Caenorhabditis elegans: one gene and its partner. The protein of the gene in region 1 interacts with the protein of each later gene in a pairwise test. Each region holds a gene or a part of one and is shown in the gene's direction. Other genes may lie near its edges.

Region 1 (18,288 bases):
ACCAGAGCCACGAGTTGTCCATGAAGCTTCCGAAGTATCAGACAACATTGAACTTAATATCAAAGACGACCTAAACTTGAAAAGTAGACTGGACAACTTCACAAGAGCTAAATTCAGGCAATCAACCACCGTAACACCTAATATTGTTGCTGTGGAGCCTTCTATTGAAGGTGTTGAAGACGATTTAGATCATGATGAACAAGGTGAAACATTTAGAATCAATTTAATATTTTTTTCATATTGAACTCATTAGATGTAGACGATTAACCTGTATCATCAGCATGTTTCAGGAGAACCAGAAGACAGTGAAATTCGAAATCGGAACGAGCACCATTTTGCTGAGTTGGGCGGAAAAATGAAGGAACGCAGGGATCATGTAGATGATCCCGATATTCAAGAACCATTGAATAAGCCAATATCGGCTATTCCAGAAGAGACTTCAAATTCTGCAACTATTCAATATGAAAGAAGTTCGTCTGGAACACAAAACCCGCAAACTTCTTTAAATATTCCGACTGCTCAGAATGTACCAAAACTAAAACAATTAAAAAATCAAGAGATTCTAAAGGATCATTTTATTTCGGAAGTATCAGATGTTTCCAACGTTGCAGATGTTTCAGCGCCTATTGTTATTAGTCAAGTACCTGAAATATTGAATGGAGAACCCGCAGGAGTACCTGCCAATTTTGAAGAAGAAGACAAAGAACGTGTAGAAGAAGAGGAAGATCGCATCAGTTGGGATCTTATTCATTTTCTACTTTTGTTAAGTCCATATGAAGAAGGTGAAGTTACTTGGTGGACAATTGTTCTTGAAGCCGTTAAGGTTAGTTTTTGATAAAGTATAAATATACGAAAATATTTTAAAAATTCAGTGCTCTCTTCGAAGTTGTCATAATTCATCATCTCACTGGCATGATAGATCTGTGTATCTTCCGAGAATAACTCGACATCGTCGTCAAGATTCAGACTATTTACCTGGAGCACTTTCTCCAACAACACCAAAACCCTGTTTGTGCAACAATTTAGAGGTTGATATCAAAACGTTATTATTAATGATTTAAATTTTACAGACTTATTTCGAAAAACTGTATGAATCAGTTGGGAAAAAAAAGAAGGAAAAGAAAATATCAAATTCAACAACGAAATTTGTATAAAAATTCCGTAAATATGTACGTAATTCAATAAAGGTTCAACTTTTATACTATAATTAAACAAACAAATACAAACTATTTCTGCTTCAAAAATCTATATTTTCAAAGAATAAATAGCTGACTTACTCATGAATCTGAGAACAGAATCAAAAGTAAATGTTTTTGGAAGTTCTCAATCTTTTTAGAAACATAACAATCAAACGTATGTTCTAAAACGATTTAAAACCTTTAAAAAAATTTATTAACTGATTCAATTTTCAGATCAATGAGTAAATGAGTTATTGATCGTTTGAACTCTGAAAATCCGATCGTCTTCTGCTTTTGAAGGAAGTATTAATCCACGTATCTGGCTATTACTCCAAAATAATATAACAGCAGATCTGAAACTTAATGCATTAAACATCAAAAAGTTATCGCCTACCCAACAGTAAACATATCAAACGCCAGAAATTGAGCAGTGAATAATAAATCAGATGACATGCAACTAGTGCAAAACGCATATAGAGCCTGAAATTTTTTGAAAAATTCAAATAATAACGGGAAAAATTATTGCGAGCAATGTCTAAACATTCATACGTAGACTTATTGAATATAAGTAATTTAATTTGATTGAATACGTTTTTGACTGAAAATCAAAGTATGATCATGTGAACTTCTTGCCTGGCTAGCTGCCGCTGCTAAAAAAGTGAGAGAAATATAAATATTTGAGAAACATAACGATTTTTCAGCTGATTTTATACGATCAGATAGAGAAATGAGCTTATAGAGAGTAACTGATGTACATATAAAAGTGAAAACAAGAGCTGTGAGGATATAAATTGATTGGAACAAAGAAGATGAAGCCTGAAATAAATTGTTGTTGCCTAGAATATGATATACAAATCTTCCAAGCTATGTATTAGAGATTCTATGTAATGTCTTGAAATTGGACGTACCCAAGGAATTGCTCTGACATAGCTTATAGCAAATCCACCATAAGATGGTAAAACGTAAAATCTTGGGGAAATAATTATATTCCAAGTTCCACCCAATGGAAGAATACATATTATCACTAAAGACACTTTGGTCAACTTACGCCATATCTGAAAACTTTGGTTTTTTGATACCATGTTTTTTTTTGAAAGTCGCAGCTTCACCTGGCCATAATAAGTTGGCATTAGAACACATGTCATTCTGTTCAATACCATACATATATGGGCTACGCATTTAGATAATCTTGTGTGAACACTCAAGTAGAAATATATTTTTGGAATTAATGATGACGCCCAAAAAAATGGGCCAACGATGGGACAAAGTGGAGGGACATAAAGAAAGAGACGACCGTAAAATGAATCAATAAAAACAATTATAATGCTCTGAAAAACTTTTAAAAGGCAAACTAATTGCTACTGTCTTACCGAAACAGAATCCAGTGCAAAAATTGCAAAAAAAGAGCTACCTTTGAAATAACCTCTTCTCGTCACTAAAATCGTATGAAGTATGAATAAATGAAGGATTCCTCCTGGTATTAAATATGATATTGTTAAAAGATATTTTAAAATTTCGATGCTAGAGCTATAGGTTTCATCACAAACAAGTGGATCGGGTTCGGAATAGTTAGTAGTCATTCTACGCTCAATAAATAAGTTTTTTTTGTTTTCACTGAAAATAACTTGACCAGGAACAGGTGGTTTGATTAGTTTTAGTGGTTTGGGAGGTGTGTACATGCAGGTGACAAAGAAAAATATCTCTAAGAATTAAAAACGATAATAATGTCCTTTTCTGCGAATATCATACGTCGGAAAGTCGCGAAAGGCTATAATTTGGTAAACTTATCGAAAATTTGAAGACTATGCAAACGAAAAATGGGAACTCGTTCGTAGTGTTAAAAGTATAGTCGGAAATTTATTAATAAAATGAGTGGAGGAAACACCGATTGACTTACTATTGATATAAAGTACACGTCAGAGCTGTGCAAAATTCTTCACGGAATCAGATTCTTGAAAAATTGTTAAATTTTTGGCTACAGGTTTTTGAAGAGTATTGCATATATTATACAAGAATAAAAGTTTGACAATAGCTAAGGGTCTTTTTTCGTATGCTCCATCACATCCAAATAGCAGCTATTTTCAAAATTGAACTGTAGGGCAATCTGTGATTGGGGTTTCCCCAATTTCCTAGATAATTGGAAAAAAGTGTAGGTCTAATTTTTTTGAGGACTTTTTACGTTCTGAATGTTCTGAAAAAGAAACTGACTATGAGTAAGCTGAATTCGCAGCCTGAACAGAAAATGTCCAGAAAACCCTTTTTTTAACTTCGTTTTATTTATTCAAATTCCTCAATGTGACGGAGAAAGTAGAATCTCGTAATTCATAGTTCTCAATTATTTGATATCCAGAATTCAACAATTTTCAACATTTATGAAAATGTTTTCTTTGGATGTGCATCTTTCTGGGTGATGAGCTGTGACAGTTAAAAAATAGTTTTTTTTCGCAGTGTGCTAAATTCTCAATTTCATCAGTACCCCATCTTTTTACCGACCAGTCACGTAAAAACTACATTGAAACAATTGAAACAAGGTACCATAGTTTAAACTTGTTAATTGTCAGTTGAAAATTCGTCGAATTCTCAAGTTTTCACAAGTATCTCTGATCACTTAAAGGTGCTATTATATCCTGCACCTATATACTTCAAAACGAGATTACGTTGCTCAAAAACAGATTGCAAGTTCTGGATAATTAAGTTGACAAGGTGTTGGTCTGTGATTTCATTCGTCATCATTTTCTTGTTCATTCGCCTTGCCATGAACCCTTATAACTATTCTTCAATCCCTTTTGTTTGCAATTTTAATGACTATGATCCACTGAAAGAAATATCAATATATTTTGTAACCCTGATATATCAAGGAATAGGATTATTTCTGCATTTATCAATTATCAGAATTATCGTTTTAAAAGAAAGAAAATACTATAGTAGAAGTTCTTTCTTTCAGATTTTCGTGTCGGATTCCATAGAAGTAGGTTTTAAACTTTCGTTTTCAAAATTTCCAACACACATGATTTTCTAGAAATGAATTTCGATCATTCAGAGCTCTATTTTGATCCTTACTTCACTCCTGAATCGTCTTGTAATCTACGTTCCGCAACTTTGTCCAGTTATTGGACCATATTTTTGGGAACCATCAGTTTTGTTAAAGTTTGTATATGTCATCCTATTCCGTCAGGCATCCTATTCCGTCAGGCAATTTTAAGTGATATGTTTTAAAAGCAAGCATTTCAAAATTCAAAAAAAAATTGATAATAACGAAAAAAAGCGTAAAGATTTCGTCACAAATTTAAGATCAAAAGTTATTATCAATTTTTTCTTGGACTTCCAACAGAAAACAAGTGATCGTATATGCTTATTAGTAAGAAGCATCACCAGTGCAGTTCTGAAATTACATTTAGGGGTACTCGAAAAAAAATCATGTTGCTTGATTTACGTACCCAACATTAAACGCCTCAAACGTCCAAAAACTCATCAAATACATATAATAAAGAATATTAAAATCAGTACGACATACAGAACATGCCACAAAGGCAATCTGCAACATACCTATGACTTAAAACCTTGGTCACATTTTCAAACCTGTAGGACTCCAACTAATAGAAAGCATAACGATACAAATAAACTTGTAAAGCAAAGAGTTTTTTCGGCGGATTTTATCCTGTCTGGTAGAACAAATAATCCATATAAAGTGATTGATGTACAAACTATCGTAAATCCTAATGCAGTAAATATGAAAATTGATTGGAAAAGAGATAAAACTGCCTGAATAAAAAATTATACTTGTTTCCAGTACTTTGAAATCTGCTTCTCCAAAGTCTACTCATTTTCGTGGAATTTATGCAACTCAAACAGTGAGTGGGTTTAAAAAATTCAAAACTTGAATAAAAACTGATAGAAGTTTTATTCTTATTCAACTGACCCATTCTACATTTCTGATATAATTCATCGCAAATCCACCATCAGACGGGAAAACAAAAACTCTTGAGATTATGACATTCCAAGTACCAATAAAAGGTAACATAACAACTAATATTCTGGCAATCGGAATCAACCATAAGTTTAAATTATGTTTAAATATAATTAAATTATTCTTGAGAAACTAGACACTCAGTTACAGTGCATTTTTTTTTCCACTTCTACGACTTTAAAGGCGCGCGCCTTTTTTTTTTGAGCAACTGATTTTGAAAATCTTGCATGACTCATAGAAACGTACACAAACTTTGTTGTTATGGAAGGATCCCAGAAAAAAGGACTAATTATAGCACAAAGGGGAGGTACATACATGAATAATCGAACGAAAAACATATCAGTTAGAAGAAGAAATGTGCTCTGGAAAGATATGGATTAACTCGTGCTTCTGCTTTCAGAAACTCACTGCAATCGAATCCATCACATATATTTGAAAAAACGAGTTATTGCGGAATATCTGCCTTTCTTTGAATAATAAAACTCTTAATATCAAGATATGTAGGAAAACTCCAACTCCAAGATAGGAGGCATTCACAAAATATATTAAAAGCTGAGATATCAAATTGTAGTTGCTACCGCATTTGAATGATATAGTTGTGGAATTATACATTATTCAGAACAATGTCTCGAAAGTAATCTTTCCAGGAATAGGAAGTTGAAAATTTTGAGACTGAAAATGGAGCAAGCTTCAACATAATAACACCTGCCAACATTTGCGTGAAAGTTTAAAGGGAAAAAATAAATGATCAAGTATTACATATCCATTTTTTTTCTATCATCAGCTCACTGTTCTGTGATCTTTTATTTTTAAAAATATTGTGTATTCTGATGGTGATCACGCTAGATCTCTACAGTATTACGGTAGCTACCGCAGTAGCACTAAATTCTGAGAACGCGTATTGTGCAACATATTTGACGCCCAAAATATCACGTAGCGAAACCTACAGTAATTCTTTAAATGCCTACGGTAGCACCTGTGTCGATTTACGGGATCGATTCTCGAAATGAATCGTAGAATATTAAAATAGGCAAAAAATGAGAAAATAATATGAAGAATCGAAGGAAAATGGAGTATAGCAGTCACTATACGTTAAAAAAATTCATTTCGAAATTCGAGCTCGTAAATCGACAGGCGCTACAGTAGTGATTAAAAAAAAAAATTAAAAAAAAAAAATTGAACCATTAAGATAGAAATATGATTTTATTATTGTATGAATTGTGCGTAAAGTTTGACAGGAGTGCGACTAGGAAAGTGACGTAGAGGAAAAGAATCGGGAAAAATGAACAAAATAATACAGGTGACCGGTATAAGGGGGGAAGTGTTCAAGCATTCATTAAGCTCTTTTAATCAGCGACAGCACTTTTTACTCCTTTCTGCTTCGTCGTTGTCAATTAATCGGATGGATCGATTCGTAGATGGTGGTTCTGTCGAACGAGTACGCGAATGTTCGATCATTTCTGAAATTTTTGGTATTTTTTATTTAGGCAATACCCAAGCCATGCAAAACGTTTAGGCCAACTTACTCGCAGTTAAAGATTCAAAAGCATCAGAGATTCCAACATTGTCCTGAGCAGAAGTCTCCATATACAATGCCCCTTCTGATTCTGCGTATGCTTCCGCATCCTGTCGAGTGACCTGCCGTTCTTCTTCAAGATCAATCTTGTTCCCGACTATCAGAATCTCTGCAGTATTTCCCAGGCATGTTTTTATTTCGAGAACCCAGTTCTTAACCTTAAAAAAATGATTTCAGTGGTGCTCTTTAAAATATTTTGATACCTTTTCAAATGACTTTCTATCAGTGATATCGAAAACCAGTAGCACGCCATTGCTTCCTCGATAGTAGATTGGACCGAGTGCGTGGTATTTCTCCTGTCCAGCGGTATCCCAGATGTGTAGGTCAGCTTGGCAGTCTTCTACATTCACAGTTTTGTTTTGGAAGCTTGCCTGCAATATGAAGAACAATTGGAAAATATTTTATATGCATATCAAAATCTTGATAACTGAATGAAGAAAAACCCAGAAATATTTTTTTGGATTATCTATCGCAACCTTTTTCTAAATTATTACCTGAATCGTCGACAGGTGTTTGCAGCTGAATTTATTTTCAACGAATCGAAGCACAAGTGATGATTTACCAACACATCCTTCGCCGAGCAACACGATCTTGAATTTGAACGACTTCTGATCCACGTTGGTTTCGAGCATTTATTCTGAAAGTATTCGATTTTGAAGGTTTATTTTCTTTACTTCGCTTTTAAAACTGAACCAGATATACTAACAGTCACTTATACTGTCTTTTCATTTCATTTTTCAACCCATATAATCAGAAGTAATTAATAGTTTATTGTGAATATAACAAAACGAGATCAAAATAACAATACAGTGAAAATTAGAGTTGGCCACATTGAACAACAACAATCGGAAGTTTCGGCTTGTTATTGGCTCCAGTTGGAACATTTTCGATTTTCCGAACCGTCAGCATTCCATCGAGTACTCGTCCTGCAATAAACGATCGGTCAGAAATATCAAACATATCAATGGCGTCATTAACTAGCTTTATCTCGTATAAAAGGTGATAAGGATATAAGGAAATCTAGTTGTTTTAGCTAGACGATGACACGCATTCTCGTTCTAATTTTTTTCTTTTTAAAATGCGTTTCATTGCAAACATTACTTCCTTTATTGTATGCTAACGCTGGCATGTTCAACCCATATAATCAGTATAAAACAACAACTATGGCACCATCAATGTATCACCAACATTATCAGTGGGTATCATTAAAATTTGCGATTTTCTTTTTAAAACACTGCTTTCAGGGGATTGGGATGGAGAACTAATGACGTTGGAGACATTTATCACAATCACAATCCGTATTCTTCTTTCTTTGTACTACAGAAATCAACTTATCCGTGAATTTGAAATAAAAAAAAATTACCAAAAACTACATGTTTGTTGTCAAGGAAATCGGTTTTTGCGCAAGTGATAAAAAACTGACAACCATTTGTGTCAGAGCCAGCGTTAGCCATCGAAAGCATTCCTGGTCCTATGTGCTTCAGCTCGAAATTCTCGTCACGGAACTTTGAACCATAGATGCTCATCAAACCGGTTCCATCGCCCTGAAAAAATGATATAACTTTAAAATTTAAAATTGTTAAACTTACGTTGCAGAAGTCGCCACCCTGAATCATAAAGTCCTTGATCACACGATGAAATGTGCAGTTTTTGTATCCGTTTGGGACACCATCTTTTTTGTATTCTCCTGTACAGAACTGACGAAAGTTTTCAGCAGTTCTCGGTGTTACATCAGCAAATAACTCGATCTGAAAAATTATGAAATATATAGCAAATTAAAACTGGAATGGTCGTCAACTTACAACAATAGTTCCGATTGGTGCACCACCGGCGGTAACTTCTAGAAAAACGATTGGGTTATCCGGATGACGGAGCTGCTCGGCAAACTTGTCGTATTCAGTCATTCTGAAAAAGAAAACATATAAATGAGTTAGTTTTTAAAACCAGAAAAACGTTTTCTGTAAGTATTCGAAATAAGTATTTTCGAAATGTGTCAGGTTTTTCCGAGAATAATGGGATCAACTGAACTAATCGTTCATAAGTTTTATAACCAAGAAATACAAATTCGTCAATAAAATTCGACATATTCAAGAAAAAAGTGATATTCGTTCTATTCAAAACAAAAAAAGGTGAGCATTAAATGGGTGTATAGAACAATAATAAAGTGCGCGGGTAGTTTGCAATCAGAAACCCCGCCCACAAAGCCCTGCCGCTAATAATTTTCCCCCGTCTTTTCTCAAATTCAACTCGAAAATTCAATTTTTGAATAATTTATCTTGTAAAAGTTCGTTCTATTCATTTAAAAATTAATTTATCGAAGTTTATCACACGATTAAAGCATAATTAACTTTATTAGAGTTATTCATTGATTTGAAAATCAGAATTTGGTTTATTTTCGGTCGGTGCAATCCGTTTCTCTGTTGAAAATGCTATAAATTGCTAATTTTTGGATTTCAGATACTAGAACTATGTCATCAAGGAAGGGGAAAGCGTAAGTTGAATGTTTTTCACAATTTATAAATAATCATTAAATATATTTTCAGATCTGCTCATATCTCATACGAAGACGAAAATGATGATCTCATTGATGAAATCAATACTTTTCATAACAAAGACAGAAAAGTCGAAAAGGGTGCTATTCACAAAAGAAAAACATTCAATCGTCCAGAAGAGGTGTTAAACGTTGAAGCAGAAGCATCGGATAGCAGTGAAGACGATGGATCCGACTTTGATGATGACGATGTTAATGGTAGTTTTCTTTCTGAATTACCTGATTAACGTAATTTATTTAAGATATCACGGACAACAAATGGGGTAAAAAGAGGAAAGATTTCTATGGAACTGGATTCGTGGATAAAGATTGGGGCGGAATGCGTGAAGAAGAAATGGAAGATGCTCAACTCGAAGAGGAAGATGCGTTGACTCGTCAAAAACAAATCGACAAATCGACAGCTGCCATTGCTGATTTATTTGACGACGACGATGAAGATGAGGAAGAAAAAGAAGAAACTGTCGAGGTAAACGAATTGAAAGAATAATTAAAATAATGAAAAGTTTTAGGTGGAAACAGTTTTAGAATTCAATGAGGAGAATGCAAGGACAAAGAACAAAAAAATCGTGAAAACTCTGGAACAATTTGAAGCAAGAGTAAGTTCTAATTTTTTAAAATGTCTCTTCACTTTTTTCCCGGTATCAGTTGCAGCTTCTTCCTCTTGTGATAATTTCCTATTTCTTCCTAATGCCAATTCTCGAAAGTTTATTAAATTTTGAAGCTATCACTTGTGAACATCAAATGCTGATTCGTATCGTTTCCAAGGTTAATTTTTCGTGTTCTCTCTTTTTCAGTATCTTCCCGTTTTCACTTCATCTGTTCTCTTCATTCTTTCAACTAAACACCACCGATGGCTAGTAGATAAGCGGTCTCAAATCGCGCAATCGTCTCTGATTACGTCAAAAACGGGTTGCCATCATAGCCTAAGGATGCTGGACGATTCGCTTTAAACGATGATTCTCAACGGACAAAACACACAATTGAAACGATTTAAATCATCCAACATCAGACGCCGTTATGTGTGAACATTAAAAAGCGAAAGCAAAGTGCCCTTCTGGTGTCTGAAGAATTCGATGCCTGAACTGCTCGAGTTAGTTTCGTATGTTCTCATCCTCAAACATCACATTCTAATTATTCTCATAACTTGTCTTGTTTTCCTCGTTTCTGTTCACCTGGTCGGTTTGTAATTCACACCAAACGATGTTGGACATATATCGGCAGCGACCGCCAGCTTTTTCTGTTTTTCAATTATATATTGCTACTTTCAATTCTAATTAGCGGCTAAGAATTGTTATACAGCTGTTTCCGGAGAGCTCGTGACCAGTTTCCTTTTCACCTGATAACATTTTCTCTTGTTGTTATCTTTCTCTTCTTCCTTTTCACTTGTTTCTTTTCATCACCATTCTAACAGTTCAATTTTCCCCTTTTTTCGGTTTAATTTTAATTTTTTATACTTTTCAGAAACGCATCTTCGATCTCGTCGTGAAGCCTCTTGAAAATGTAATCAAGCAGATTCCAAAATGCGCATTGCGATCGCAGTTAGTCTACGTTGCCCAGACATATGCATCGTATGTTTTCTTTTCCTAAATTTCCATTTTTATGATTTATCTTTCAGATACCTCATGAACACAGCATTCCTGTTGAATCTCAGAGCCAAACAGTTTTCCAATGAAAAACTCGACGATCCACTTGTTGACATCCATCCTGTAGTGGAGTCGCTGAAACGACTTGAAAAGGTATTCCGATTGATTTAAATTTCAAATACAAACTTTTAAATTCAGAAAATCACCGAGTGTGAAGATTTTTTGCATTCGAATTCGGATCATCTGGATGAGCTCAAGAAATGGGCGGAGTCGGAGCCAGAAAATATGGAAGAATTGATTTCGAAGGTTGGAGATGTTCAACTTACAAAGAAGAATTTTGGAGCAATTATGAACAATGTAAGTTTAGGGAAAACATTATTCGAATTTAAATACATTTTTTGTTTGCCGTATATTTTAAAGATTTTTAAAGTTTGTAAAATTTAAAAAAATTGTACATTCTTTTGTCAATAAAAATCAGGAAACATAGCTGAATTGGATTAAGATCTGGATTTACTTTTTTCAGAATCTTTCAACAATCACATCTTCTGATAACACATCAATTCATCCACACTTCACACCAATGGATGCAGATGAAAAAAGAAAGGCCTCTGACAAAGTTGCCAAAAACCGTGAATACGCAGAACGACGTGGGAAAAAGAAGGCCAAGACCAGCAAGGTAACTTTATTTTCGATTTTTTATCTTATTTTTAATACCAAAAATATTTGTATCATAAACAATTAGTGTATGAAAAATAATTCGATGAGTAGGGTCGACATTTCTTGTGCATGAAAATGTTGTTACAATGCTTTCACGAATACATGAATATATTTGAAAAATAACAATTCTTGTTTGACAAAAAAGTCTCACAAAGCCGAGTTTCATGTGAGATCAAAATATGAATACACTACATAACTCTCTATTTTTTGCTCCAACCCAAAAATCCAATACGTCGAGACGGCGTCTATGCTCCCCACCACAGCGAGTAATTGGCTGCCGAAATCTCAACTTGCTTATTTGGTTTCTATTTTTTTAAGATTCTTTTTCGAGAGTTGTGATAAGAAAATAATTAATTCAGTATCACACCTGCTTGCTACTGAATTCAAAAAAAGTTTTTTAAAAAGCGTAGTGTAATGAATTATCTGAAGCATATTTTAACTCAAAAAGAAAACCGAGCACAAATGAAGCATATAACCATGACTTATTCAGACAGATAAGTAATACGATTTTGTTTAATCTTAATTTTTCTTGAAAGAAATAAAATAGACTCACTGTGACATAGACAATTCAACGTCTAGGCGACGACACTTGAGAGTTTCATCCTTGGTTACGTATACTATGCTCATTTTTACTGCAACTCCCAATTAGCTGCGTTGTGTGTTTTTTTTTTTGAAGTCTCCCAGTTCAATAATTTCTAATTTCAGACTAAAAATCGTCGCAAGGTCCACGCCATCGAGAAGCGCGTCAAGTCTCAGATTGGAAACGTTCGTCGCGAAATGCAGAAATATTCTGGAGAAACGAGCGGAATTCGTGCATCTACAATCAAGTCGACTAAGCTTATCGCTTAAAAAAAGTGAGTTGAATGTAATGCAGACATCTCATTCTGATATCGTGCCATGTCATATTTATCACGCGACATACTCTTCACTCTCCACTGCGCAAATGAGCTTCACTCTTTTACACATGAAAATAATTAGCATATGAAACCGAAAACAATGTGAATATTAACTTTCAACATAAATATCCTATCAACATATAAAAACAATGAAAAACCTGAATTTACTTATCATATGGTACGTATGTTTAACCTTTTCCTATTCCTCTCGTTTGCCCTTTTAGTCGGTTGAATGTGTTTTTGTGTGCCCGGTCACTTTGGGGCTATATTCATCAAAAGAGGATAGCCTTCTTCTTATTCTTCCTCCATCGGTCATTTCGCTCCTCTCTTTTCGACCCCGGCAATATGTGCGCGAGGTCTGGCACCACCGTGTGTGTGTGTGTGAGAGCGAGTATCCTATTTTTTATTCGTGTCCCCCGTCCCCATGAACGACTGGAGCCCTAGCCACCTGCTACTTTCCATTTTAGTTCAGCTGACCTCGTATTGTCTACGAGCTGTTCATAATTTCATAAGAGCAATAAAGTGTACTATAAAACTGTGATTTCAGACTGTTTCTCTATTTTTGAATCTTTTTAAATACAACAAATTCGAAAAGGTGTTGACTAGTCTGTCTGAATGAATATTTTAATTTGAGATTTGAGTCTGATGTGTGTTACACATTGATGAGAATTTAAAGTAATTGTGACGTGTCATTCTCGAAAACCAAGCCTCTTCGGATTTGTTCAATAATTCGTATAGCTCGTTTCATGTCAGAAAGGCGAATACCCGTAACTAAATTACTTTTTCCTAGAATGCTAAAGAAAATAACTGATCTATTTCAATCAAGTTTAGGCTAAAATTTAATAATTGATGGCGTTCACATATGTGTGTGTGCCTGCGTGTGTTTGCGTGTTCGATGATAAGCTTTCTTCTGATTGTCTTCCTATGATTCATCAATTCTATTGCCTCCAGCCTCTTCTTCTTTCATACAATTTTTCACTGAAAGTTTCATAGCTCTCGGAAAATGCCTACGACGAAAATTGTAGTCACATATCACATATTGATAAGCAGACGTTTTTCATATTTCTCTATTTCTATTCAATGATATAAAGTGGTCTGCAGCATGTTTGATTATTAATTTTTTTTTTTCTAAATTGAATTATCTTGGCTTTGAACTGATTAAAAAATGCATTTTCTATTTTCTTTACAATCGATCGTTTTGTTATAGTCCTCGTGTGAATTCTAAAAATGTTCGTTCATCAGAAATTATAGATGACCTTTGTTTATTTTGTGTCTTCTATGAAAAAAAAAAGAGCCTATCATCCAAAACTTCTGATATCAACGGTTGAAAATTAATTTTTATCAATTTTCTCAACATTGCATTACCTTTTCAACCAATTTAATTTTCAGGTGTCATCAATTTCTCCGTTGCCACTGCATTCAGCTGGACTTTCCTGGTTTTTTTGATCGTTAATATCTTGTTTTCTTTGATTTATTCATTTTTCATTTATCCTGTTAACCTTCGTTGTTGATTTTTTTTGTTCCTAAAATCGCCCTTTCTACCAAAATGAAGTTGAGTTTTCAATTTTATTGAAAATAATTATTTTATTGCCTTATATCGGTTTGAAACCCGACGAATATCTTTCTTCTATTATCTTATTATTGTCATTTCCCATATTCACATTACTTCTTCATTATTATCTTCATACATTGTTATCACATGGCTCCTCATTGATTATGATAGATTCATTTCCCCTCTGGAGATTTGATTGTCTTGGCAACAGTCATTCTCCCCACCAACACATATCAGCTCGCAGCTCCGCCTCATTCTACATTTTCTCATTTTACATTCCATTCAGTCGGCTCAGTGTCTTTCGTTTCCCCAAAAAGCTCGCTTAGATATAAACCTATAATTATCAGAGTGTTGAAGCAAACATCTCCGATGCTCGGTGAGCTGCAGTGACTAACTGAGACAAGCACTGGTTTTCAGCTTAGAAATTCACCTGTTTCTGTGGCATTTTCGCAATATTATATTTCCTGAATTTCTTAGAATCAGAGTGTCACTGTAATTTCAGCTGCTCGTTACCGAGGCTTCACGTAATGGGCGGACGAGTACTGTTCCCCAATGCTCCCCCAATCTTTGCACTTTTTTATCTGCTCATGTTATTTTTTCTTATAAGACTGGCAGACGGTCCTTTGTGCATCCGTCGAGCTCACATTTTTCTCTTTATCACAGCTTGCATAACCATCGCTCTCACTTTCCTTCTCCCTCACCGATTTTCCAATTTTCTTCTCTTTTTTTCTCTTATTCTTTCCGCTTTAAACCTCAAATCAAATTGATTTAAACGTAATTTCATTAATATTATTTCAGCATTGCACTCGATAGTCGAATGATGTCGAAGATTTTAGGAGATGGACATGTTCGGAAAACCGGTAGATCTTGTGTGATTTTGGAAAAACAACATAATCGTCTAGTTGACTTACCTGATAGTGCTTTACGGTTGAATTATGAAAAGAAATATTATGAACCAGAGGTAAGTTCTTCGAATCGTGGCTTCAAAGAACTTTAGAAAATAACTTACAGAATGGTGATCATTTAATATTTTCTGCTCAACTTCAAAATGGTCGTTATAGTGCATTGACAGCAATTAAACCAACTGATCTTTTACAAGTTTATGGAAGTCTTTCTTATTTGGATGAACAATTAAAATTTGGGCATGTTTCAATTCATGGAAGAACTGCGAAAGTTTTTGTTCCTTTTTCAACAAGAACGACGAATGGAGCGTGTTGGTACGGACAAGGAGCATATATCGACAAACCTTATCTCATATACATTTTCCGTCAAGAAGAAGCTCACGGCTGCAAGTTTGTAGCATGGGCTATTTATGATGATACTAGAAAGACGACAAGCGTACCACCTACTCCTACGGACATTCAAAATACCTCACATATGAAGAAATTGGGGCCTCCAACCGCCGTTCAACGACAATCGGATCATCAATCAGTTGAATTTGTTCAAGCTCAATCGGGTGTTATCTATGATATCTCTGACAATTACGTGATATCTGTGACTTCTCCCACTTGCCAAAATGTTGAATTTGCACCTACGTTGTATGAAAGTTGGATGAGACCAGGTCGTTTTATAACCTTTGATGGGCGTCGTGTTTCCGATGTCAAGACGTCTAAGCTGATGGGAAGTAATCCTGAAGATATGGGCTCGGTAATTTAAACTAGAGTAAAATTAATACTAATTTGTTTTTTTTGCAGATCTATCCAATTAGAAAGTTGACTCCTCTTACGATAACCATAAGTGCTATTATGAATAAGGTTTCACATGGAAAAGCTGGTTGGGCGTGGAACGATCATGTTGGGAGAATCTACATTCCATGGAACAGTACTGATCGATATATGCAGGCATCAAAACCACTTCCGTTCACACCTGTTCATCTAGAGATTGCTTACAACGGAAAACATGATGATATTCCATGGGTCGCCTGTGGTTCTTCTCTTGTCGAAGAACAAGAATATGATCAAATTGTCGACGAGAACTCAAGAATGCTGAAAACGGAGGACAATTGGAAGATCCAATCAGTTGTAGATGGACCCGAAAATCCGAGCATCTTCCTTGCTAAGTTTGACGAGAAGGGATTGAAACGAACTGCATTTGCAAAAGTAATTGACCTGAATAGTGGAAACATCCCACCTACTGGAACACTTGTTCGCATCACATATTACGCTCAAGAACGTCATGGAAGACATGCAATGAGATGTGTTTTGGTCACTACAATGGAGAAAGTTGAACGTTTTCCAAAAGTTCATTCTATTATCAATGGAAGTGGCGAAAAGCACTTCCCAATGATGTATGAGGTAAGTTATACTAATCTAAAACGAGAGTTAAGTATTTTCCAATTTCAGCAACCAATACCGAAGAAACAAGTTATTCCTCCAACTCCTGTTCAACGAGTTCAAGCTGCACCTCCTCCAGCCAAAAATTGCTGGAACTTAAAAAATCTTGGTTCACCTGCAGCTCAACCATCTGTACAAGACTTTCCAACAGTTACTGGAGACGAGGATGATAATATCTTTGTGGAAGAAACGAACACGGCTCTACCACCTCCTGGATTTGTACCACCAGGCCTAGTTGCTCCACCAGGTCTTCCACCACCACCAGGACTTCCAGCAGTACCACTTTCAACTGACCTCGCTTATGATTTCAAAATGACTTCAAGCATTCCAATGACAAACGGTCTCGGACACCTCCGACTTGGATCAGTGTGGAGTGGGACTCCAGTTGAGGCGAAGCAAGAAGAGCCCTTACATTATTTCCAGCAACAAGACAATTTTCTCGGTTCATCATTTGGCCCGATTAGTTCCACTTTCTCTGCAGATAACTTCTTCACTGAACTTACTGCTTCCATATCTCAACCTTCCACCTCAAGTGTTGTGAATTCTGGACCAATCAGTGATCTGCGAAATACACAATCAGAAGCATCATCTCCAGGATTAAAGTCGGATGGAAATGAGCCCGTTGAGGAGACAAACTGCTGGTCAAGTCTTGAAGCAGCTACAAATGGTAACAATCCATTCAACAGCTCATTCTCGTAAGTTTGAAAAAATTATTTTTCTCAGTAAATCAATGTAAAATTTTCAGGTATGGATTTCCACATATGGACCTTCCGATCTATCAGAAAATGATGCCAAATGCCAACGATATTCTTAAACCAATGCCACTCGTCGAAGAAGAATTGAAACCAGCAACATCAGCAACACACTCAGAAGCCGATTCATGCACATGTGGGACGGAGCAACTGATTTGGGATCTTTGGCAAAATCCACATTTTATCGCTGCTTTCGCCGCAAGTGATCCAGAAACATTCAAACGCGTTGATGCGAAACGCAAGCTCTTCAGTTTATCTAACCATCGTTAAATCGTTTTCCAATTGCCAATTTTATTCTAATAATTTTAACCATTTCTATGGTTTTTCTTTTTTCATTTTCTCGTTTATCCATCTTTCCTCTAATATATGTCCGGATAGATTTCCGACATCTATCATTTTCAAATTGCTTTCCTTAAACTGGCGTGGGCCGCCCTTGAGAAATCATAAAATGCCCCTTTCATAGCTCACTGTTCCCTGTTCTCATGACTATCCCACCATCCCGTTCTCATGACTTTTCGACATTTTCTCGAGTCGCCCAGTGCTTCTCCCCCTCTGACGAGATACTCACACAACCTGTTCTATCTTTTTATCATCTTGTATTAGTTTATATCACTATTTTATAATTTCCAACCTATAACTGAAAACAGTTCAAATTCATCATGTCTCCACTCAGTTTTATTCTTTGTTTTTTTTTGTATTGCCATCAACTGTTCCAAGTTGTTTGCCCCATTAAGTATTATTTAATAAATATCTTGAGTCGAATTCTAGAAAACAAATATCAATTATTTATCTGTTAGTCTAAATATTGAATAACATGAAAGACGAATGAGAATGGAAGAGCATTTGAGTTGGCGAACAAGGATTATAACCGTAAAAGTAATATAAGAGCAATGCATGAAAATAATGTAAAATGATGAGTAGGTACCGAATTACAGAAATCTGCATCACGGCAATAGCAGTTGATTGTATCCACTCCTAATACCTACAATAATTTAATTACAGGAAAATCTCTATTTTTTTAAGAAGTAATAGTTTTCTGGTTTTTCTCTCTAAAAACCAAGAAATGGGCGGGGCCTAAATTGGGCTTTTAGTCCAACATAGCCTAGACCAGCTTTATAAGTTAATTATGTGTCGAAAATTTGTATCTAAAGACTGTAAGAGTTTTAAAAAAACGCGACATTGC
Region 2 (14,893 bases), 4.9 Mb from region 1:
TCTTGGAATCAGGTTCATACGGATTCAGAGTTCCAGTCGTATATCGATATGTTTTCTCGGTGGCTATGGAGAAGGTTGAACTTATCAGTTGAAGTAAGTGATTTTTGGAAATTACCAAAAGTTGAATCAAAAAGTCAAAAATTGGATATTTGAGAATAACTTTTTTAGAACAATCAAAACTACACCTCAACCTCCATCCTGGGTGCCTATGTATACCCGAAGCTCATCTCAATATCCCTAACTTCACAATACCTAAGCCAACAGAAAATTTACTGCCGGTACTACGACTGTAAACGGAGAGAACTCTTGGGAAGTGCATATGAGAGTGTAGTCTTTCCCGAATCAGTGGTCCACTGTCCAAGAAGAGCCGGAGCCGAGTTTGTGTCAGTTTCCAGTGGCTTCAACTCGTCTACACCGGAGCCAGTCAGATTGAGCTTCAAGGCTTATGATGGTAAGAAAATTACAGACGGGCGCTTTTTCTGTAATGAGGTACCTTTTTCAACATGTGTGAAGTTCGTGTTCTTGGAGAACTTGATTTTTTTATCGCGGAAAAATCTTTAATTTTTAGTCGCAAAAAAACGTTTTTTTCGATAATTTCCATACACACAGACCTGTTTCAATTTTGAGACATCCAAAAAGAAACAAATTTTTTTCCGACTCCACAATCTGATTCAATTAGTCATAAATTGGAACGACTTGAATTTCCAGAACCCGTCCACGACTTGTCGGTCTGTGTAGCCCCACTCTACGGGAACGAATCAAAATGGCTTCAAATTGTGGATTTTGTGGAGCATATGAAGCTTGAGGTGATGCTGTTTTTTATAGGAATTTTAAGTTTTGTTTTTAAACTTTTTAGGGCGCAACATATTTCTACTTTTATGTCGGAACGATTAATGACTACGATCGGAAAATGTTGACGGAATATGTGAGAACAGGAGATGTTGAGGTCACATTTTTACAGGACAAGTTTGAAAGACCAGCTTATGCATGGCACCTTTTGATGATGCAGGTAAGATTGCCTACGTGCCTACACGCCTATGTGCCTAAGTATGTAGGTGCCTATGTGCCTAATTGCCTAGATATCTAAGTGCCTACTTGTCCATGCATCTAGGTGCCAATGTGTCTACGTAAATAGGTGCCTAGGTGCCTAGGTGTTTAGCTTCACTAAATGCCTAGGTATCTAGGCACCTTTTTGCCCAGGTGCCTAGGCGTCAAGGTTACCTGCGTGCCTACGCTATTGCCTGCATTCTAAATTCCCATTTCAGGATTGCCACCTCCGATCCAAATATCACTCAAAATGGATCACCTTTTTGGATCTGGACGAACGAATCTCGTCTGGAACCGAGTATAATAACCTGCTGGAAGTCATAGAATCCCAACCCAGAAGCGTAGGGGAGCTTCACGTGAGCGTCTTGAATATTCTAAAATATGAAGATACACCTGAAAAGTTCACTTCAATGGAACAGCTGAAAGAAGATATGATGTTCCGGAAATGGACGAACACCATAGATCCCACGTGGAATGCATCAAAGGCTATTGTTAGACCGGAGCAGGTCAGTGGGAGATTTGGGAAATTCAAATATTTTGAGTGATTTCAGATAGGAATAATGTTTATTCACTATGCAATTGCTAAGCAGTTTGGAGTCAACACGGTCAAGCTTAACGCATCTCAAGCCGCTGTCAGGTAAAAGCCCAAAAGTCTTAGAATTTCATAAATCCCCTCACAATAAATAACTTTTCCAGACACTACCGAAATACCCTACACAGAATGGAGGCTCCCGATTGGCATCCCACGGCTCCAACCAAGTCGCCCACAGTCCAAAGATGGCCTTTAAAACCTGAATTTGTGGAAAGCCTGTCAAATGCAATAGTTGCAAAAGTTCAACATGTGTACTGTAAGGTGCCTGTAAATTGTACGACAATTGCGAGGTATTTATGGGAATCGAGGCAATATCCGAATCCGTGTATTTCAATGTCTCCGATATTTTAGTTTTCTTTTTTTCTGATTTATAGCTTGTTTAGTACAAAATAAATGTGTTTTATTAAAATGCTATATGGTTTTTTGTAGAACTTCCCTTTAAGGACAAAACTGGCCACGCGTCTCTTTTGTTAACAATTTGTTTACTTCAATAATTATTGCATTTTTATCATTTCAGTGAATCAAGGCCGCTAGACAGTCCCTGCGGATCATTTTTGGAAAGGAGGAATTCTTTGATCTTCCACGAGTTCAGTCGTTTTACTCATCACCTTCAAATAGCAACCCTTATCGTACACCTTCCTACAACAAAATGTAATTTTTGACATTTTTCAAGACTTTCGTAAACTCCTAATTTAGGTATCTCGGTTTCCCAATTTCGACATCTATAAGATATAATTGCCCTGCTCATTCCATTCAACACCATGCTGCTAAAGCAATTGGAAAGATCGAGAGGACCGAAAGCTTTTGAGACGTGTATTGGGTTCTTTGTATTCTAATGATGAATGAATAAACAAGCATAAACAAGCATCGCGCAGCGCCCTCTAACATAAAATTAGGCGTTTCAGGACAATTTTAGAGATCCTACGAATTTCCACGGATAAATTTCTTTTGAAAATTGATTTGCAAGATGTCTGGATCAGTTTGAACTTAAGTCATGAATAAGTTGTTCTTAGAAAAAGCCAAAAAAAGGGGATTTTATTAGAAAAAATCAAAAATTCGAGGGGGCGCTATAGAAGTTGGGCGCACTGTATGTCTATCCCCCTTGGCAGCCCGAATTTTATTTTTCGTTCACTATGTTTTTTTTAAATAAAAATTGTGAAGGTCACAGATTTTCAAAGACATTTTAGTCTGAAATTAATGAATTTGTTTTTTTGCGTTCTATTCTGAAGAGAGAGCGGGAAAAGTTTTACGTAAACCTGGACAGACAAGGAGCTATTGGTGCGCCTGAGTGCGAACCTCATTAACATTTTTAGACAGAGTTTAAGTTTATTTAAATCAGAAATACGTATGGAAATCATGCAGTTGTATCAGCAGAAGTTGCAGATGCCTCGGTCTTCTCCTTGCCAAACCTCTCCGCTTTCTCATCCTCCTCATCCGTCGGAATGCAGAAAAACACTCTCATCTCTTCCGGCGACATTCCTTTTGCCAAACCCGCGATGAACTTGCAGCAATAAGTCAAAAGTGTCATGACTTCGAGGAAGTTCGAGGCGTTCACCAAATCGGTTAGGGCGTCGTGCTCAATGTCCACGAACTTGCGATCCCACACTGGAAGGACTGTGTTACCAGATGGATAGGCTTCTGGAACCGGGTCGGCCTTGTGATGCTCGCACCATTCAACAACCAGCTTCAAAGTTTTCCCATTGACCTTCTCGATTGGAATCGGGACCATTGACTCGGCGTTCTCAGCGCTGTATCCGAGGTTGGTGATGGAGTTCGAGAGAGTTGCAGATTGTTTGATGGCTTGCTCGCTGATTTTCAAGACCACTCTGTCGTTAGACTCAATGCTGTAGTAGACGACTGGGGTGGCTTCTTCGGCGATTGGAGCAGCAGCAACAGCTTCGGCAGACATGATTTTTCTGGAAAATGGAGAAATGTTAGAAGAAACATAGGAAACAGAACAAAACAGTAAAAGAAACGGAGGAGAACAGTTCCTACTAAACCAGCAAATAAATAGAATGAATGGTGTGTCTGCCATCCACCCTTGCACCTTACAAACGCTGCGTTTTCGATCAATAGGCCCCATCCTGGGAAAACTGGAGGTCCAACGTACTCGCAGTGTTTATGAGTTCTTGGCAAAGTGCCAAGCAGGAAAATACCACAGTAGAGGTAAAAAGGGCCAAAGCTCTGTTGTTTTAAAAACTAGAAAAAACTCATCAAAATTAACGAAAAATGTGAATGTTCTCTAGGAGCATTGCGACTTTGAAACATATTTTGAGCATATTTTCAAAACTTTTAACTGGAAACTAATATATTTTCAAAAAGCACAAGCATTTCTCTATATGTCTATATAAACTTTCAAACAAAAAAAATATAGGGAAAGACGCTAAGTGGAGCAAATATCCTCCAAAACTCGCTAAACTGAGCATCTTCAAACTAGCGTATCTCAAAAAATACTCATCTGGAAAACAAATATTCAACTAACAAAATGATCAGAAATATTTTTTCTTTTTATTAAATTAATTGTTATTTTAATAAACCCACTATTTGTAGAGCCACACAGAGTCAAAGCCATTTTCCAAAATTCACAAAAAATTTTGAGAACTCTTTTGTTGTACCCGTCATAACCCAACATTCATTGAATTTCAGAAGAAAACTTTTAATTAGTTGTATGTGAAAAATATTTTTCCACATTTTATCAGTTTCAAGTTTTTTGATATTTTCATGTTCCGTCAAGTTATAGACCGTTTTCTGAAAAAAATCAAGTTTTGCTCATAAAACTCTTCATATCCAACGTATCGACTTGAAATTTTAAAAAATGCTCACTTTTTTGAGGTCTCTACAATGTCCTAAAAAATCTTTCAAAAAAGCCTGTCCATCTCCAAAATCGTCCTCCGCTCCAAAATAAGAAATGGGACTTTTGCTTTTCGAAAAATAGGCGAAAAAATTAAATTGCGATTTTTGGGTCGAAAAAAATATTTTTAGAAAGCTGAGAACACGCTATTTACGAATTTCATGTTCATTTTAGGTGGTTCCTTTTCTGAAATGACCTAAAAATTTAACAAAAAGAACATAATTTTAATTCTCACGTCAATTTTTTATTCGCAAGAAAACAATTGAAGCACTGAGCAACATGCCAAAAAATTTTACGTGAGAATTAAAATTATGTTCTTTTTGTTTAATTTTTAGGTCATTTCAGAGAAGGAATCAATTAAAATGAACACGAAATTCGTAAATAGCGTGTTCTCAGCTTTCTAAAAATATTTTTTTCGACCCAAAAATCGCAATTTGATTTTTTCGCCCATTTCTCGAGAAGCAAAAGTCCGATTTCATTTTTCGGAGCGAAGGACGATTTTGGAGATGGGCAGGATTTTTTGAAAGATTTTTTAGGACATTGTAGAGACCTCAAAAAAGTGATCATTTTTCAAAATTTCAAGTTTTTACGTTGGATATGAAGAGTTTTATGAGCGAAATTGGATTTTTTCGAAAAACGGTCTGTAACTTGGCGGAACATGAAAATATCAAAAATCTTAAAACTAATAAAACGTGGAGAAATATTTTTTACTTTTTATCCAACAAAATTTATCTTTTCAAATTTGATGGGCGTAGGGTTATGACGGGTACAGCAAAGGAGTTCTCAAAATTTTTTGTGATTTTTGGTAAAATGGCTTTGATGTCTCTACTTAACTCTACAAAAAGTTGGTGTATTGAGATAAAAATTAATGAATTAAAAAGAAAAAATATTTCTGATCATTTTGTTAGTTAAACATTTGTTTTCCAGATGTGTATTTTTCGAGATACGTCAGTTTGAAGATGCACAAAAAAAATCAATTTTAAAACAAATTAAAATCATCATTATTGGCAGCAGAGAGTCTCTGCTGCCAATAATGATGATTTTGGGGTGTGCGGCAAATTTGCCGAATTTGCCGAATTTGCCGAGCACGGCAAATTTCAAAAAAGTAGATTTGCCGAATTTGCCGAGCTCGGCAAATTTCGAAATTTGCCGCATACGTCAAAAATTTGACAGTACAATGTTGACTAAAACTGTTGATTTTTTCGCCAAAAATTTAGTAAAATGACAACAAATTGAGTTATTTTGATGTTTAAGCAGACACACTACACCTAACTTGTTCAGAAACCAGAGGTGTGTTAAGAATTCAGTAGTTTTGGTGCTCCAAAAAATATCAAAAAATATATAATTTTTCCGAGTTTGTTAAGCACGGCAAATTTGCCGAATTTGCCGAATTTGCCGTGCTCGGCAAATATTGGAAAAATAGATTTGCCGAATTTGCCGAGCTCGGCAAATTTTGAGATTTGCCGCACACCCCTGGCAGAGACGGTAGACGGCAAAGAAAGAAATGCTATCTGAGTTTGCCATCTTTAGAGTATGACCGGGACTTTGCAAAATGGTCTGGGCCGGAAAGGAAATGAAAACTCGAAATTTTTATTTAGTAACTGATCGTTGAAAGATCACGTACATATTAGATGACAAGTTGCTCCGCTCATATATTGAGTTTCTGCATTTTTCATCTGTAAGGCGCAGGACAACTACATTTTTTGTGGTTCTTTGTTTTAATAATCTTCAAAAATGCCAAAAAAAAATTGATCTCCCCGCCGCGCACCAATAAAGTGGGTCACTTGCCACGAGGCGATTTCCGATCCCCTTTTACAATCGGTATGCAGGGGAGAGGCTCATTCTCTCATTGATTTGTTTTTTTGTGTGTCCTTTTCCCGTTTTTCTTGTTATTTTAAAATTTAATTAAATTCCAGAAAATAACCTCTGCAATGCCCCCAACTGTTGGAAAATCTACCAATAAAGATGGACCGTCGGATTTGATGTCGGCGTTTGAAAATTTGCGATCTGAAACTGCTGGAATCAATAATTTCCTTGAGAAAGTTTGAATTTGAATTGTATCGGCCTTATTAATATTTATTCCAAATTCCAGGGTCCCACCATCGGTTCGATCACGTCCTTGAGCATTTCCAAATTTGACAAGTTTTGTGAAAATCAGGATAAAGTCAACCAGAAACTGATGCTAGCGATTCAGAAAATGTCCATCGAACGTTCGAAGCGTCAGAAGATCCAAGACGCTTTCAACAAAGAAATGCTCGACGCAATCAGATCTATGAAGAAGGCGTTTGCTCGGGAGAAGGAGGAGTTCAGCGATGATTTGGAGATTTTCAAGGAGGAGCTGTTTGAGAAGCTTGATGAGGATAATGAGACCTCTGAAGACGAAGATGAGGAGGAGGAGAATGATGTTTTGGATGCGATCAAGTTGCTCCAAACTGGACTCGATGCTATGAAAGAGGCACAGAGGGAATTTTTCAAGAAAGTGACTGAGGATACTCAAGCCATCCGGAGAAAGGTAATTTTATGAGATGATTGTGTTCCTTACTTGAGGCTTAGGCTTAATCTTAGGCATAGGCTTAATCTCATGTTCGGCAAACGGCAAATCGGAAACTTGCCAGAAACGGCAAATCGGCCAACCGGCAATTAACCGATTCGCCGAATTTGCCGACAAAAAAATTTGTCAATTGCCGCCCACCCCTGGCCCGTAAATTTAGCAAAAAAATTATTCAGATTGGCTCGAAAAACATAAAGTTCAATGTTATCCTTCACGGAAGCCGAATCCCGATGGAACTGGACTCCCTTGACACAATCTACACGGTCGGAATGGCCCTCCTGAAGCACGGTGGCCTCGCACTGCATCGCCAACGTCTCATGCTCAATGACAAGGAGCTTCAGTATAATCAAACTCTTGAGGAAGCTGGAATTAAGGACGGTTCTGTCATCAAGCAACATACTGATGAAAAGTGTGATGAAGATTGTGAATGTTGTTGTTAATTTATTGAACTTTATTGTTGAATGTGGATATTATTATTATTTGATTAAAAGAAAGATAAATGTTTTATTCAAAAAAACGTGAATCAATTAATTTTTCTGCTACCAATTAAATTCATTTCTCCAAATCTCGGCGACCATGTCGAATTTCCGCTCGGACAATTTGATGTCTGAATTCCAAAAACTTCGCATGGAGACTGCAGATATTGGTTTGGCTCTTGGAAAGGTAACACTTATTTTGTTAGCACCTAATAAATTCTACTTTTCCAGAAGCCAGAAAACTCGGGCATTGTATCCGATTCGCAGCTTGAGAAAGTCATTGAAGAGCAGACAAAACTCAACAAGGAAATCATGGAAGCCGTTCGAAAACTGGAAGTCGAGCGAAAGGAACATCAGGCAAATCAAGAAAAATTCAATAAAGCAATGATGGAGGCTTTTCAAAAACATCGTGATGAAATGAAGGAGAGCATCCATTAAGAACGAAATTTCTCGAAAACCAGAGGCTGCTGTACATGAAAATTTGCCGACGAACGACGCGAAAATCCTCTTCCAACTGACACGTGACGGCAAGCGCGAATGGAGTGAAGCTTTGAAACAGTTCCTATTTGAAACCGAACTCGCAATCAAGAAAGATACCCAGTTGTTTCCAGGGGCGCCGATAGACAGAGAAGAAATCCGTTTCAATGGTGAATGTTTTTTCAACACATTTTCACGTTGTGTGTATCGCGTTTCTGCTGAATTTTAGGGATTTTAAAGCAATTTTCAACAAGCGGGACCGCCCAGAGACTGTTCGCGATGCGATTTACTTAATTTTAACATAAATTTTTCCCCAAATAAGCTCGAAATGAGCTCTGAATTTCGGCGAATCTGAAATTTTTTTTTGACCAAAAACAGAATTTTGCAAATAAAAATTGATTTTAGAGCAATTTATTGCATAAATGTTTAATTTTAGAATTTTTATTATTAGTTTGAATCTTTTTAAAAAGTTTTAGTCATTAATTTGACTGATAACACCGAAAAATGATTTTTCTTTACAACGAAATCGATAAAAAAGTAAAGCAACATTTATCAAGGGAAATCTTGCAAAATTTGTTTAAAAACTTTTATGAAATCAAAGATTTCAATAGAATAAAGCTATAAATCAAGCAAAATCACTAAAAATACAAATAGTTCTGATCAAATTTCAATGTTCCAATCTACCAAGTGATCTGTGATACGCCAAGTTTCTTATGTAAGTGTTGCTTTCCAATTTTCCTTAAAAATGGCTCAAATACTTACACAAATGATCAAATTAACATTTTTTACAAGTTTCGTGTTATATTTTCTTTTCCTTAATAAGGAACCATCAGATTCTTCCTACCCTCTACGGCTCTAGATACCTTAACTTCGACAACTCCTATCTTTTCGGAGAGGCGAGATATGAAAAAGTGATCAACTGAAAACTTGTAGAGCACATCAAAAACTATGATATTCAATTTAAACTACGTTTTTATCTTTCAAGATGGGGGAGTTAGACTTACATTTGTATTGCATACTTTTTGTTATTCTACTGGCTGCTCTAACTCCCTCATCTTGAAAGATAAACACATGATTTTAATTAATTATTATAGTTTTTAATATGTTCTACAATTTCTTAGTTAATCACTTTCTGATATCTTGCCTCTCTGTATGAATTTGAATATTCGAATGATGATAAAAAATTCTCAGTCAAATGCAAAGTGTCTAGTTATATCTCTTACCTTTATATTCGAGCTCTAAAAACCATTTGAAGTTCAAGTGGTGATCTTTGTTTGTTTGTAGAATACTTTAGGAGTTTTAAATTAGTTTTCCTTATTTCATTGTAACTTTTTTTATATATGGTCTGTAAAAATTTCGTAGTAATAAGAAAATACAACTCGAACAGTTTCACATGTTTTCCTGTTTAATTAAAATATTTTTATAGATTTACTTCTACATTTGTATTGTTCATTTGACTTTGATCATGAAAAATATTTCGTTTGTTTATTAATATATTTTTGACAAAAAATCGAATGGCTTCAAAAATAAAACATAAAAGCTTTTCATAACTTTTGCACGAGAAACCAAAAAATAAAACGGGTTAAAAAATTGCATTTAATTACAAAGTTTGCATTATCGATTGAATATTCAATTAGAAACTCATTGCCGCCAGCATAGTCAGGTTTGAACACTTTTGCAATTTCAATTGGATTTGACTTTGATTTGTCACAATTTATACGGCAACCTTGAAATGTACTTCTTCTCATTAGATCCTGAAAAATATTTGATCATCAATTAAAACGCTTTAATTGTAACTTACATCTCTAATTTTGATTGCAATATATGTTGGAAAGTCGTCCAGTTGGATCTGGAACCATTGAAAGTGGAACAGATGATCAATTAGTCTACTTTCAAGCTTATCACCAAGCAGACTGCATTTTTTCGCACATTTCCATTGATCCAGATGAGCAATATTTTCAAACTGATTGTTTATATGGGTTATCCAAAATTCAATGTTCTCCAGAACTTTGGTGTTACAATACTGGAGAATAGTGATGGCATTATTGAATGAGAAATTGTCAAGTTTTATTGTCTTCACGTGAATACATTTAACTGATTTCAAAATTTCAATAAATGATTCTCTCTCGTCTCTCTCTCGTCTCGTTCTCGTTCGTGTTCTCGTGTTCTCGTGTTCATTGCACTCGTTAGAAATTTTTAATTCCGATGTGTGCTTCAATACTGTTTTCAAATCTTGGAATGCTATTTTCATAGAACTTGCTCCTTCGATAGGTGTTGTTTCTTGATTTCCGTACCATCTCACAGTTGAACCTCCGTTATCTGCATTGGCGTATCTGATGTAAATTCCGTCCACGGAGCAGAGATAGAATTATGCTCGAGTCAAGGCCAATTCCAAAAGAGAAATAAACAATCAAAGCGAAAAAAAAAACTATGCCAAGCTAATATCTCATCGGGCCAAAATACAATAAAAAGAAACAAAATAACCCTAAATGTCAAATAACATTCAAACGAAAACTTGTTTCGCTGACCGAACTTGTCCCTCGCTCAATTTTTCAAAATATTTGCGGTATTTTCCTCGCAATTATATGGCTCAAAATAACGTGGCTCTCTTGGCCCTTTTTGGCTCTTTTTTAAATAGCTCTCTGGCTTTTTGGGAAAAAACTGAATCACTAAAGGACTTTAACATTGGAACAAAATAATAATTATCACTGATGTAAAACTCAATCCAGTTCTTCCGATTGTAGTTGGTTCCAACGACTGCAAGGTGGGCATTTTCCCTTTCAAATTGACCGGCCATAGTGAATGCAATCCAAAGTAAATCGGCTGACAAGATATAGATGGAATTAGATAGAATAGTAGCTTGGGGAGGGAGGTGAGCAGAAGAATACAGTAGATGTAATGGTAGTAGCGGTAGTCTTATTAGCACTGGACTGAATCCTTTCGACCTCGATGCTCGCGGAGCTGTCCCCGACCCTGCAGTAGGTCCCACCAAAAACCTGCAGGTGCACACGAGGACAGACTCCTGTCTGTTGGGGACCTCCATTTGAAAGGCTATGGCCTATGCTCGGCCTTAGTTTCAATATCATAGTAAAAACACTTTGATAGTATTTTCAAATACCTTTATTGAGTCGTACTGAGCCGGACGACAAGAGTATTGCTTTCGTCCGGCCAGCAAGTCAGGTCTTTCTCGACTGAAGAATCTTCTACTCGTGAAGGCGTGCCGCCATTTGCTCTCGTGCCTCGTGTCTCTCGTCGTCACGCGCCCATAGACGCGCGACGGCAAGACCACATGACACTAGAATGAGAAGAGATCAAGGACCACTTCCACACGTCTAAGTAAGACTGATTACATGTTGTGAGATAATACGAAATGAGGTAGCTAAAACTTTTTAAACAAATGAGTCAAACGATTTTAGAACATCTTCTTCATCTGCATCGTATCCAACACGTGCCGCTCCACCACCTCCAGCACATGCCCCTTCACCAACACTTCCAATACGTTCTCAATCTCGTGGAATTACTAGAGTTTGTCGAGCTCCTCTACCTCCGGCATCCGGTACCCGTGGGATTGACTAAGGAACCTCAGCTTGGTATCAAAGTTCATATCATAAAGGAAGTGAAACTGAACGTTTTGAGTACTCAAATTGCGAAAAAATGACTCACACTTGATTGAATAGATTATAAACTACATGTCAGCTGAACACTGATAAGAAAATAACTGTGGAAAGCAAGAGAGCAAACAGATAAAGGCTTGCTACTCCTAAAAATTGATATTGATTTGGTGCACTCAACTGTATTTTCTACATTTTTGATTCATTAAAAAACAATTAAATACTAGATTTTCAGCGTTGAACCACAAATATGTCTGCTACAAACCAAGATGCAAAACTTTCAGTAACAAAAGAACGAGTCACACTGCTCAGTATGCCTCTTCATGTGGTAGTTCTGGAAAAGTTGGAGCCGATAGATCTGTGAGTTGCTTTCCGTTGTGTTTTCAAAACGTCCCGTAGAAAATGAGTTGTTACAGCCTTTTTTGTGTCGTCCACAATAATGCAAGGTACGCAAACACCCGAGTTGACGACAAAATGCACAGTTTGGTGTACGAAGTTGTTTTGTTTAATATTATATTTTATCTGGACCTATAATTTCCGATTTTTTGGTAAAGATGTTGGGAAAAAATTTCTCTCTGAAATTTGGGTGATACTACGAATTTTTTTAATTTCTATATTTTTCAGTTTTATATCCAAATAATGCCCGAAAAACCAAGTTTGCTCGGTATGCCCTTGGAAATCGCTGATCAAATTTTTGAAAAGCTAGAACCATCCAATCTGTGAGTTTTTGATTTTAAGATTTTTTTTGGGAACAGTAAATTCACCCCTATTTTGTGGCACAATTTTTGAAATTTCAAGTACTTAATTAGTTGAAAACTTTTTAAAAAACTATTTAAAAAATAGAAAGCACTGAAATCTGTCTTGAATTTTTTTTGTAGATTTTGGAAAGCTCTTGAAATTCTGAATAAAATTCTAATAAAATTTTTATATATTGAACATAATTTCAGACTGGTCTGCCGAAAAGTTTGCCGAGGCATGAGAACCGCAGTTGACAAGTTTGGAGTTCAATTTAATGCGGCTCAAGTTTTCATTTATAAGAGTAATATTTTTTTGGAATTGGGCAATATTGAAATTAATTACGATGAAGCAAGAAATGGTGGCACAACTGTGACTTGTGCTGGACGTCAAGAATTTATTGAAAATGAAAGTTTCATGGACATTTTCTGAATATGCCATTACATGTCGCCAATCTAGTTCTGGAAAAGTTGGAGCTCATGGATCTGTGAGTGAATTTTCATTTTATTTTTAAAAGTCCAACAATCAGAAAAAAAAAGTAAATTCTGTCTCAGACTGACGACTCGAAAAGTATGCCGAGGTTTGAGAGCAGCTGTCGATAAATTTGGAGTTTTTTTCGATGCAGTCCTGTTTTATATCACGGAGGAAGGTCACATTGAAATGAATTTGATCGAATTTGAGATCATATATGCCAATGCAGACGGTGGTGGTACAACTGTGACTTACAATGATGAACCATGCCGACGAATTGAAGGAGAAAACTTTGTGGAATTAGCGTTCACGGATTTGAAAATAATCATGAAACACACTTCGATATTCTATATTTCTAACGATAGAAAGGATAATTGCAAAATCATTGAATCTCTCATGGATTTTTTGAAATCAGAAAAATGTATTCATGTGAAAGAGGTAGGACTTGCATTTTCACTCAATGACGTCATTGAAATTCTCCCATACTTGCTCAAACGTTGGACAAACTTGTTTTGACAGTGGATGGCTCAATTGATCAGTTTAATAGATTAACTCAAATGGAGCATTGGAAAAATGCAAAAACATTTCACCTTTCTGATGTTAAATTTGATAGTAACAAGTTAGAAAGTTTGTTTCACTTTGAAGAGATTATCATCGAACTTGACGAGTTTTCAGAACAAAGTGCAGTTAAAATAAAAGATGTAAGTTGTACTTGTAGTGGTTTGTATATGGATTCTCATCATGCAATACTACTTATCATCTGATTTTTGTGAGGAACAATAATTCAAAAATGTTTTTTCAAATGATAAAACAAGTTTTGATTTCATCTGAACATTTAGTGTTGGTTTAGTGAAGATCAACTGCCAACTAAACAGTTTCCGTTAATTTGGGTATTTTTGAGCAATTTCAAGACTTGAAACCGTGTTATTTCTATCAAGCTGACGTTTAAAAATTGGAATCACGCATATTGATGCTTGAAAAATTGGTTTCGCGTAGAAATTTTGTCATAGAGTTAACTTGTTCTAATCGGTTCGAAAATCAATGATAAATCAACCAAATATTGAATTTGTTCAATAAAATTTTTTTTTTAATTTTTTTTAAAGCAATATTAATCCCAATATTTAATTATTTTTTCCAAATTTCATCTTGAAAACTCGAATAATCGCGAAATTTCGCGTGAAATTCATTTAATACCGTAAAAGTGTGCAAGCGCGCTCCGTTGGACTTTCCAATTCTCGATTTTCACAACTCTCCCGATTTGAGGCGCTGTGATCTGCAGTTTATATTCTAGTTAATTGTTAAGTCTTATAAATCAGCTAAAAACCAAAAACTCATATTTTTTCAGCTATCACTGCACAATAATTTTTTTCAGATAGTAAGCTCCGAGTTGACGAAACACTGAGAAGCGCAGGAATTAAAGACGGCTCGGCGGTTAATAGATGGGAACCGTGCCCATATTAATACTACAATGTTGCTTTTTTATTTGGAAATAAAGTTATTCGATAACATACGTAGATCAACAAACAATTTTATTATTAAAAAGATTCATCGCTTTGAGTTCCGAACTGGAAACCTTGCTGCTAGATCGCCGAACACCTCTGAAGCCGTCGAAAAATCCGCGTCGGGCTCATCAAAAGCAAGCACGGTGTAGGTGAGCACAGACCGGATCAGATTGGTTTTCTCGGGATATTGCTCGAAAATTCGTTTGATTTGCTGGCTTATTCGTTCTGTCTCTACTGCCGCTGGGCTGGATTCTCGAGGGCGTTTTAGAGACGGCTGAAAGTTTTCAAAATGTTGAGGAATATTGCAAATAAGTCTAAAAAACGATACCTTCTCCTCATCCTCTGCTTTTGGATTCGGCACTGGTGGAGAGATAGGTGAAGGTATTGAAGAACTCGACGAGCTTGCCTGGAGCATCTGACTCAGCTCATGCCTCAGATTCATCGGGTTTTCGAAAGCATTGAGAAATGGATTCTCCAGCTTAACCTTGGTGGGAGTCGAGGTCGATGAGACTTGTGGAATAAGAGATGAGAGGTACTTCATGGCGCTGAAAATTGGAATTTTCTAGAAAAATTAAATACA

The links.
Region 2: the proteins of T01B7.5 (region 1) and F54D10.7 interact in a two-hybrid assay, tested with the Caenorhabditis elegans proteins (2 studies listed by BioGRID).

What each region holds. Positions count from the first base shown.
Region 1 is NC_003280.10:8,707,656-8,725,943, forward strand, and holds T01B7.5 (Sas10 C-terminal domain-containing protein), read left to right. Parts: upstream 1-9,178; 5' UTR 9,179-9,189; coding exon 9,190-9,212; intron 9,213-9,264; coding exon 9,265-9,470; intron 9,471-9,514; coding exon 9,515-9,738; exon of another isoform or gene 9,739-9,781; coding exon 9,782-9,868; intron 9,869-10,733; coding exon 10,734-10,840; intron 10,841-10,887; coding exon 10,888-11,008; intron 11,009-11,053; coding exon 11,054-11,212; intron 11,213-11,378; coding exon 11,379-11,531; intron 11,532-12,277; coding exon 12,278-12,421; 3' UTR 12,422-12,426; intron 12,427-13,857; 3' UTR 13,858-14,030; downstream 14,031-18,288. Other genes in the region: cup-16 (uncharacterized protein), read left to right, coding at 1-203, 291-823, 873-1,028, 1,071-1,154; srg-15 (Serpentine receptor class gamma-15), read right to left, coding at 1,414-1,531, 1,573-1,658, 1,812-1,994, 2,087-2,233, 2,288-2,506, 2,549-2,758; Ras-related protein Rab-21, read right to left, coding at 6,496-6,605, 6,672-6,879, 6,925-7,092, 7,216-7,353; cyn-11 (Peptidyl-prolyl cis-trans isomerase 11), read right to left, coding at 7,538-7,647, 8,085-8,265, 8,311-8,469, 8,524-8,625; T01B7.13 (uncharacterized protein), read left to right, coding at 7,762-7,916, 7,966-8,062; trcs-2 (TRansport of membrane to Cell Surface), read left to right, coding at 14,841-14,981, 15,032-15,667, 15,715-16,314, 16,363-17,048, 17,099-17,375; nssp-20 (Activin_recp domain-containing protein), read right to left, coding at 17,968-18,087.
Region 2 is NC_003280.10:3,812,810-3,827,702, reverse strand, and holds F54D10.7 (Ubiquitin-like domain-containing protein), read left to right. Parts: upstream 1-6,406; 5' UTR 6,407-6,421; coding exon 6,422-6,532; intron 6,533-6,582; coding exon 6,583-7,002; intron 7,003-7,217; coding exon 7,218-7,481; 3' UTR 7,482-7,554; downstream 7,555-14,893. Other genes in the region: gtnt-31 (Glycosyltransferase family 92 protein), read left to right, coding at 1-93, 169-451, 709-806, 857-1,009, 1,266-1,553, 1,599-1,684, 1,744-1,990; skr-15 (Skp1-related protein), read right to left, coding at 2,994-3,548; fbxa-24 (DUF38 domain-containing protein), read right to left, coding at 9,539-9,748, 9,796-10,245; lido-15 (MADF domain-containing protein), read right to left, coding at 14,357-14,587, 14,642-14,858.